2 linked regions of the Oryctolagus cuniculus genome follow. The main gene of each other region encodes a partner of the protein of the gene in region 2 in a complex. Links are inferred from orthologs where the notes say so. Each region holds a gene or a part of one and is shown on either strand. Other genes may lie near its edges.

Region 1 (4,551 bases), on a different chromosome or scaffold from region 2:
CCTGGGTTTAATTCCCCGCTGCGGCTCCTAACCCCAGCTTCCTGCCAAGGCAGACCCTGGGAGGCAGTGCTGATGGCTCTATTTAGTGGGTTCCTGCCATGCACGTGGGAGACGTATATTGAATTCCTCACTCCCCCGAGGCTTCAGCTCTGGCCCTGGACCCAGTCACAACCCCAACCCAGCCTCAGCTGCTGTGGGCATTTGGGGGGTTAATGGGCAGACAGGAAGTGGAAGCCTGCTTTTTCTCCCTCTCTCCTAAATAAGTAAAATGGATAAAGATAACATTTAAAGAAAAAGACAACACAATGTTGAGTCTCAGATTTCTAGATTCCTAATCAAACTTAAAACATTCCCCTATAAATGGGACTACAACCATTTTCTAAGCCTATTTAATGTTAAATTGGTGTCACTTCCTTATTTCCCTAGCTGAAACAACACACTTGCTTTTCCACGTCATTTCAAACACTACCACAACCAGTTTAGGGGAAGTGGGTATCACTCCTGAAAGATGTTTCCGCAAAAGCAACAAAAGAGACACGAGCAAAAAAAATGCCACTAGCCACCATTTATTTTTAAAAAGCTAACCACTGCTAAAAACCTAATCACTGTCTTACATTAACTGACAAACGGTGACCACACAAACCAGACCACTGGCAAAAATACGCAGAACAGTCTTCTACCAAATTCTCAGCTAGGAAATTTGTGGAGAAATAAACAGCAGCTTGCAAGACCCTCAATGCAGTGCCAGTCCAAACCTGAAGAGGAATCACACTGTGCGCATTTAATTCAGCAGCTCGAATCGAATGGATGTAATGGACAAAAGAAGAGGAACAAAACAGCAACTTAGCAGCAGCAATTCCACCTGCCGCTTTCCGTTCTGCCAGTACACCCTCCAGAAAGCCCAAAACAGGAACCACAAACACACAGGACAGTGCCTCTGCTTTCCCTTCCTCCTTTTAAGTCTCTCCAGGTTTTTGGTCCATGATGACTCTAAGTTCTTAAAAACTATTTGTACCACACAGCTCTTTACTTCACCTGGGTTGCAACTAAAGACACAGTAACAAGTTTCAAGGCTTGTTACAAAACAGTGGTGGATTTACTCAAAAATAGACATCAATCTCAAATTTTGCCTCTTCCTAAGGAGTCTTTAAGGATACTTTTGATTGCATACAACGTCTGCCTCAGAGGTTGACTTTAAAAGTTGACTTCCACTGCAAGGACACACCCCCTTCAGATTACTAAGGTCCTGCAGCCTATTCGGGTCCGTCCTGACCACCTACAGAGCAATCTTCCCCATAACAGAGTTCCTGATTTCCCCAGAAAAATTCTAAAGAGCCACTCAGGAGAAGACCACCGAAAGCCTTCTACGCAAGCCATCAAGAGTACCGGCCTGGCCAGGAGAAAGATCATTTACTTGAATGTTTGGTTTTTCTGGCTTAGGAAACAATAAACATCGCTGCACTATTTGAGAAGACCGAAGAAAGGCTCTGCCCTGCACCAGTAAGATAGAAAAGGAAGCAGCAGCGCGTTAGCAGAAGTGGCAGCAGCATCACCAAGGAGGGGCGACCTCGCTCCACAGGGTCGCCGCCACCACCCCCGCCCTTCCCCCGCCTAAACACAGAGTCGGAGACGCTGGGCCCGGGACCCAAGTGCAGTCCAACCAGTCCTTAAAACCCCAGAGTGTCCCAGGCCTGGGGTGAGCTCCTCCAGGGTAATGGCTCTGCCTCCTAAAGACACACGGCAGCAAGGAAAAGTTGCAGGGCTGCAAGAACTCAGGAGGAGGAGGTGAGTGAGGTCAGAACTCGGGTCCTCTCCCCTACTCAGTCTCCAGCCTCATCTTCCTCTTCCGTTCGGGATCCCCCTCCCACTTGAAACCACACTCAGCCCTCCCCTCCGAACACCCCACTCCTCCCCCCCGCCCAGGGCAAAACGAAGATATGAATACTACAGGCCTTAGAGCCAGACAGGCCAGGCCACGAACCAGCCGTATGCACTTGCATAAATTAACCTCTCCGGTGCCTCACTTCTCCTATCTGGTAGAATGGGTCTGAGACTAGTATGCACCTCGGAGAACTGCAGCAGCGGTTACCCAGAATGAAGCATAAAAGGTGCTTTGCAAACTCCTGGCATATATCGCCGGAATAGGATCAGAATGATTATACTGATTGTTATTACTACTATTCGGTGGGCTTCCTCCCCGCCTCACTGCTTGCCGCTCGCACACTGCCCTTCCTCCTACAAGCCCCCAAGGATCTCCCACTCTTCCAGCTCACGCTCCTCTTTCCGGTAAGCGAGAGCCCGCTTACCCTGACCAGCAAGGCCCGCGCAGCGCGGGTTGGCGGGCTGGCAGCCGGACTCCCCAGCGGCAGCGGCGGCGGCGGCCCCTGACCCGAAGCTCTCCTCCCTCTGCCCCGGATCTGCTCCTAGAACCGAGTGGGCCAGTGAGATGGGAACCCCCGTGCCCAGAGCGGCCTTACGCACCGCCTACCAAACAACACAGCTGCGCCACTCTACCCGTAAGATCCTCCCGACTCGCCTGCTCTCTTGCGTCATTCCAGAGGCGCGCGCGCGCGCCTGTTCATGGCCGCGCTTCCCTCTGGCGCGCCCCGGCAACTCCGTGCGTGCTCTCTGGGCCCTGGAGCTCGCGGGAAGCAGCGCGCAGGCGCAGAACCAAGAGGGCGCCGCGAAAATGGTGGGGCGGGGCGGCCTCGGAAGACGCATGCGGAAGACAGTCCGCTCTAGGCCTTGGCGCGATTAGTTTCGCTGGTTCAGTTCAAGCACGATCTCTACGCCTCCATGTCGGTTTCCCTTCCGCGCGCCCAGGGAAGGGGCGTGGTCTAGAACTAGCCCCTCCTGGTGGGCGTGGCCTGGGGAACCCAAAGGCCGAGGCGAGGGCGTGTCGAGTCTGCCCCAATCCCCCAAACTACGGCGCCCCCTCCTCCCTGCTTTGGGGGACCGTTAAAGTCGTTGGCAGTACAGGATTGGGAGTGTACTGGGGAAGGATCCTGAGCCGGCCTTCTGTATTAATGTGGCCCCTTGGATCCCTCACTTAGGACTAACATCTGCCTCATGGGTTCCTTGCTGGCAAACAATTAGTTGGGGATGCGGCGGCGCCCCCAAACCGAAGCTTCGGTTGTGTCCGCCTCCCTCCGCGCACCTCGGGGCCGGGCCGGCGCGTTACCGCAGCAACCGGCTCCTCGCGGCCTGCTCGGGCTGGGTACTAAGGGGACACCGCCTTCCCTGGGCGAGCTCAGGCGCGCGGCCTTCTCAGAGATTCCATCGTGGGGCAGTCTCCCCACTTTTTAGTTTGAACAGTCGGGGGTCCCAGGCCCAGCCCACGCGGCCTCTAGGGCCGTTCTTCCAACCCTTGGATTCCTTTTTAATCCTGTTTTGGAGAGAGGGCTTTTCGCCAACGCCTGTCCTTGGCAGCGTTTGGCCAGGCTGGGCTGCGCCACTGCCACTCGCGTGCTCTAGCGGCGGCTGCCGGGAAGACAAAGCGCCGAGCCCTGCGCTCGGCTCCAGGCCCAGGGCCATCCCCGCTGTGGCTCTCGAAGGAGCTCCGCCCTTGTCCCTGGGGGTGAAGCCAAGGGCCGTTGTTCAAACACAGTGCAGACGCAGCCCTAGTAACCTACGAGCGGCCTGCCGGCTGTTGGCTTTTAAAGATTTCCCCGTAAGCGGGTTCTCCAAAACCCTTTGCCTTGCCGAGGCCGGATGCCGAGCTGGCCATTTCAGAGGGGTTTCCAAAACCTGGTCCCCGGGGTGACAGCATCAAGTGCGCTTTCTCCCCTCCAAATGAGTGTCTGTCCCCTTAGCTTCAGAATAGGAATGGACTGACCCTCACAGTGTTGTGGAGATTAAATAATTAATAAATGCAGGGGGTGGGGAGGATCCCGCAAGCAGGAAGACATAGAAAAGCCTTCAGTAAATCCCTGTTCCTGGCACGTCCCTGTTTGTTCTGCCTGAAACTGTCAGTGTTTATTAGCTGTTCCGCAAGAGCTGTCGGTGGAGGAACACCCAGCCAGTTCTGGTTTTCTAACATCCTTTCACCCACTTAGGCTGGGACTGGGGAGAAGGTAGCCCTGTCAGGCAGGCGCTAGTCCCATGAAGAGGCGTCCACAATCCTTCCTTGGAATTTTGTTTTTTCCTGCAGCTCAGGGCCTGGTGTGCACTGAAACAATCAAACAGGAAACCATCCCCTGCAGCACTGCTCACCCAGAACTGGGTGTTCCTCTCTTAGATTACTGAAGATAAATTTAAAGCAAACACAGATGGGTTGCATCTCAGGGGGCACTGGAGTGTTTGTTTAAAAAAATTGATTTTATGCTACACTCGTGCTACTGCAGAATTAGGACAGTTGTGGAAATGGCTGACTCAGTGGGAGAGGATCCCAACTGCGTGACAGGGATGCTGAAAAATAGGTTCAATAACAGATTTCATATTTGATAAGAATTTTGAACTTCAAATCATAAGGTTTGGACAAATCTCAGTTGGGAGAGTATAGACTTTTTTTAATTGAAAAGCATATTATAAAAATAGGTCTCCTTAAGAAGC
Region 2 (4,232 bases):
ATGGACGCTGGTTCAAGTCCCATCTGCTCCACCTCCAAACCAGCTCTCTGCTACTGCACCTGGGAAAGCAGGGGAAGATGGCCCAAGTGTTTGGGAAGCTGTATCCACATCGAAGACCTAGAAGAATCTCCTGGCTTTGGCCTGGCCCAGTCATTGTGGCCAGTTGGGGAGTGAACCAATGGATTGAAGATCTCTCTCTCCGTCCCTAACTCTGCTTTTCAAATAAATAAAACAAACCTTTAACAACAGCAACAAAAACAACTTCATTTCCCAAGATGCCTCAAATCCTTTCATGATAAAGCTTACATGTATTCAAGCATACACAGGTAATAAAAACTCCAGGGGCTGACACTATGGCGCAGCGGGCTAACGCTCTGGTCTGAAGCGCCAGCATCCCATATGGGCGCCGGTTCCAGTCCCGGCTGCTCCTCTTCCAATCCAGCTCTCTGCTATGGCCTGGGATGACAGTAGAAGATGGCCCAAGTCCTTGGGCCCCTGCACCTGCGAGGGAGACCTGGAAGAATCTCCTGGCTTCAGATTGGCAGAACTCCAGCCGTTGCGGCCATCTGGGGGGTGAACTAGCAGATGGAAGACTTCTCTATGTCTACCTCTGTCTATAACTCTTTCAAATAAATAAAAATAAATCTTAAAAAAAAAAAAAAAAAAAAAAAAAAAACCTCCAGCCCTCAGAATGCATTTCCTTCTTTCCTGCTGCAACCACACAGAAGCTGAGAGCAGAAAGCAAGAGTAGGGACGCCCACACACACCCCATACCTGGCTCCAATGCACTGGGCCCCTCGAACACTCCCACTGGCTGTGTGAGCCTTCCCTACGTCCCATGTTCATCCGCTCACCAAACCTCAGCTGTCAGTCTGGCAGTGTGGCCGGACAGCAGCCAGCCACGCGTCAGCTTTCCCACTGCACCCCCTCAGCTCCTTCCCGAGCCCCCTCCTTTCCCGCTGGCTCCCAGGGCCACCCTTGTTTACCTGCCACCCATACAGGGCCCGTGTCTGCCTCCCCCCCACTGAGCTGCACTTGTAGAGGGTAAACCTGCTCCCGTTAGTTACCTTGCTCACCCGCACCTACAGCTCACCCTCAACGCCTCTCCCATTCATGCGGGTGCAGTCCAGCCGCGCAAACCACCCCCCCTCCTCTGAACACAGCGCTTCTCCAACAGCACCTCACAGGGCCCCACACTCCGCCCAGCCACCCCCATCCCTAATCTACATCCAGCAAGAACATCACCCCCGAGACCCTCTCCAGCTCCACAGTAGTCAGGGCTCCTCTGTGAGGGGCATTGTGCATCCATCGGTATAGCCCTGCGCAGTCTGCTGTGGCTGTCTCTCAACCAGACTGCCAGCTTCTTGAGTCCAGAGTCTCAGGTACCGTTGCAAGCCTCGCTGGGCTCACACTCATCTGAAAAGCTGTTCAAAAATCCACCTGCTTGGCCTGCAGCTGGCTGCAACACCCACCCCGCGTATCGGGGTTCCTGATTCCAGGCCTCCCTCTGGCTCCTGACTCCCGCTTCCTGCTCACGCGGGCTCCAGTAGCTGGTTCTTGCCTGCTGCCAACAGTGGCCTAAGCACCCGTACCTAAAAGCCATCTCGGCCCAACACAAAAGCAGGGGACCAATGAGAAGATAACTTCAGATCCAGAGGTATGGCCAAGTAGACGCCCTCTTGCGCACTGGAAAAAATCCAGGTATCACCTCAAAACCTATTGCCTTCACCGTGGCTGGGGGTTCGGCGGGCCCACCGCTGCCCCATCGCGGCGCCAGCGGATCAAGCCGGTTCCCGCGACACTGGTCCCCCGCTAAGGCCTCCGTGTCCCCTTCTTCATCACCACCGCCTCTCTGTCTGGCTGACCAGTCTCCCACGGCAAATCCACACAAATCTAAACGCCGCATCCCTGCGTCCACCCTACTGGTAGTAGCCATCTGACCCAACGGCCCGGGAGGCGCGCGTTTTTCTAACCGAGACCGTTGATTGGAGACGGCACCTTCTACCTTCTGTCCTCAATCCCAGTACCCGGGAGACGGCACCTTCTACCTTCTGTCCTCAATCCCAGTACCCGGGGGGCAGGTAACCAAGCACAGGAGGCGCTGTTCACGCTGTCCTTCCGGCCAACCACGCCTCCGGGTTGGGGTACAGACTTGCACTCACTCCGCTGCGGCTGGAGACCGGGGCAGAGCCCGTGGGTTCGCAGCTCCACCCTCCACACACCTCCGCCGGGCTGTATTCGAGAGGAGAGCAATCCCAGGCCCAAGTCCATCGATGGCTCGCAACAGACGAGGTGAGTACGTTTCGGTGCAAGCGAACCACCGCCTCTCCACCCGCTAAGAGTCGCGGGGAAAGGCCGCCCCTGGCCACCCCACCCCGCCCGGGGAGGTACCTGAGAGCGGCGGGCGGTCGGGCTCCTGGCCGCCGCGGGCGGGCGGCGCGGGGTTGAGCAGGTGCGCGAAGCTGGCGGCGAACGGGTTGGCGGCGAGCGGCTCGGTGCGGTACATCTCCCAGAGCAGGTAGAGCGCGGTGAGGCGCTGCGCCGCGCTGGGCAGCAGGTCCGGCTGCTGCAGCAGCATCACCAGCACCGAGCCCAGGCGGAAGTGGTCGGCCTTGCTGAAGTAGTGGTGGAAGGCGGTAGACAAGCCCTCGAAGGTGCTGCCGCCGCCCGCCTCCTCCGAGATGATGCTCAGCAGGCTCGACAGCTCCTTCGGGGTCAGGCTCATCCTGCCCGCCGGGCCCCCCGGGCCGCCGCCGCCGCCGCCGCTCCCCGGCCCGGGGCCGCCTGATCCGCCTCTGCCGACGCCGGAGCTCCCCGGGCCGCTCCGGGACGCCGACCCCGCCGCCTCTCGGGCCCCCCTTTGCTCTGCGGCGGTGAGAAGCCGGCCCGATGCCGCGCTCGCCCCGCCGCCGGGCATCAACTTCGCTCGCCCGCGCTGCTTGGCGGCCCGAGCGGCCCTGGCGCCGACGCACTCCGTTCCCGCAGCCGTAAAGCGCGCCGTTACACGACAGCGTCGTAAACAAAACACGCCGTGAAACCTGACGGCCGAGCGAAAGCGAGGCTGCTGGAGCGAGGCCCAGGAGAGGATCGGGAGACGCGAGGTGGGCGGGGCGACGCTGCCGGAAGTCGGGCTGTGGCCTCCTGGAGCGGCGGGGGCGGGCCCGGCCGGCCCGGTTCTGGTCTGGCTCGGTGCTAATGGACTGGGAGTAGGGGTGCCCCAGGTCCAGCGGGAGCGTACCCGCTTAGGAGTAGCCCAGGCACTGCCTGGCACCAGACTGCCCCAGCAAATGGTGGGTGCTTTATTGTTTGGAAAAATGCATTTTCGGTGCTAAATACTTTTCCATGTGATATCCTCAACTATTCATGGTAAAAAGTAGTGCAAATTGGCCTGCGCCGCGGCTCAATAGGCTAATACTCCGCCTTGCGGCGCCGGCACAACGGGTTCTAGTCCCGGTCAGGACGCCGGATTCTGTCCCAGTTGCCCCTCTTCCAGGCCAGCCCTCTGCTGTGGCCAGGGAGTGCAGTGGAGGATGGCCCAAGTGCTTGGGCCCTGCACCCCATGGGAGACCAGGAGAAGCACCTAACTCCTGCCATCGGATCAGCGTGGTGCGCCGGCCGCAGCGGCCATTGGAGGGTGAACCAAGGGCAAAGGAAGACCTTTCTGTCTCTCTCTCTCACTGTCCACTCTGCCTGTCAAAAAAAATAAAAATAAATAAATAAATAAATAGTGCAAATTGAAGACACCACACATTCACCAAAATTGATGTTTACGCTTTTTTTGCAGCACGGAATCTTATCCAGGAATCTTACTTAGTTTAACTAGACTTGAAGATGTTTGCAACAAATATGCATTAGCAGAATCATTCCTGTGCCACTTTGTGTTTAGCTTGCTCTAGCCTTTGTAAATCCCAGTGCCTGTCCCACCCCCAGGGATTCTGATCCCGTGTTCAAAAACAAACACTCCACAGGTGACTGTAAGGTGCCATGTGGGCTGAGAACCACTGGGGCAGGGGCGGACATTTCCCTAACCCTACAGTAATTCCTGTTTGGGAATCCTATGTGCGCTGAACAGTGCCTTTAGCTCGTTGTCTAGTTACACGCCACCTTAATTCTTCTGATTTTTTTTTTTTTAAGGTTTTTTTTTTTTTTTTTTTTTTTTTTTTTTTTGACAGGCAGAGTGGACAGTGAGAGAGAGACAGAGAGAGAAAGGTCTTCCTTTGCCGTTGGTTCAC

The links.
Region 1: CNOT11 (region 2) and CNOT8 share a complex: the UniProt entries of both Homo sapiens proteins name them as parts of the CCR4-NOT complex. The link is inferred for Oryctolagus cuniculus from reciprocal best matches to the Homo sapiens genes CNOT11 and CNOT8.

The regions. Positions count from the first base shown.
Region 1 is NC_091437.1:41,744,850-41,749,400, reverse strand, and holds the start of CNOT8 (CCR4-NOT transcription complex subunit 8), read right to left. Parts: upstream 2,846-4,551; 5' UTR 2,537-2,845; intron 2,499-2,536; exon of another isoform or gene 2,065-2,498; intron 1-2,064. UniProt on the Homo sapiens protein: Has 3'-5' poly(A) exoribonuclease activity for synthetic poly(A) RNA substrate. Its function seems to be partially redundant with that of CNOT7.
Region 2 is NC_091433.1:107,382,830-107,387,061, forward strand, and holds the start of CNOT11 (CCR4-NOT transcription complex subunit 11), read right to left. Parts: upstream 2,991-4,232; 5' UTR 2,918-2,990; coding exon 2,392-2,917; intron 1-2,391. UniProt on the Homo sapiens protein: Component of the CCR4-NOT complex which is one of the major cellular mRNA deadenylases and is linked to various cellular processes including bulk mRNA degradation, miRNA-mediated repression, translational repression during translational initiation and general transcription regulation.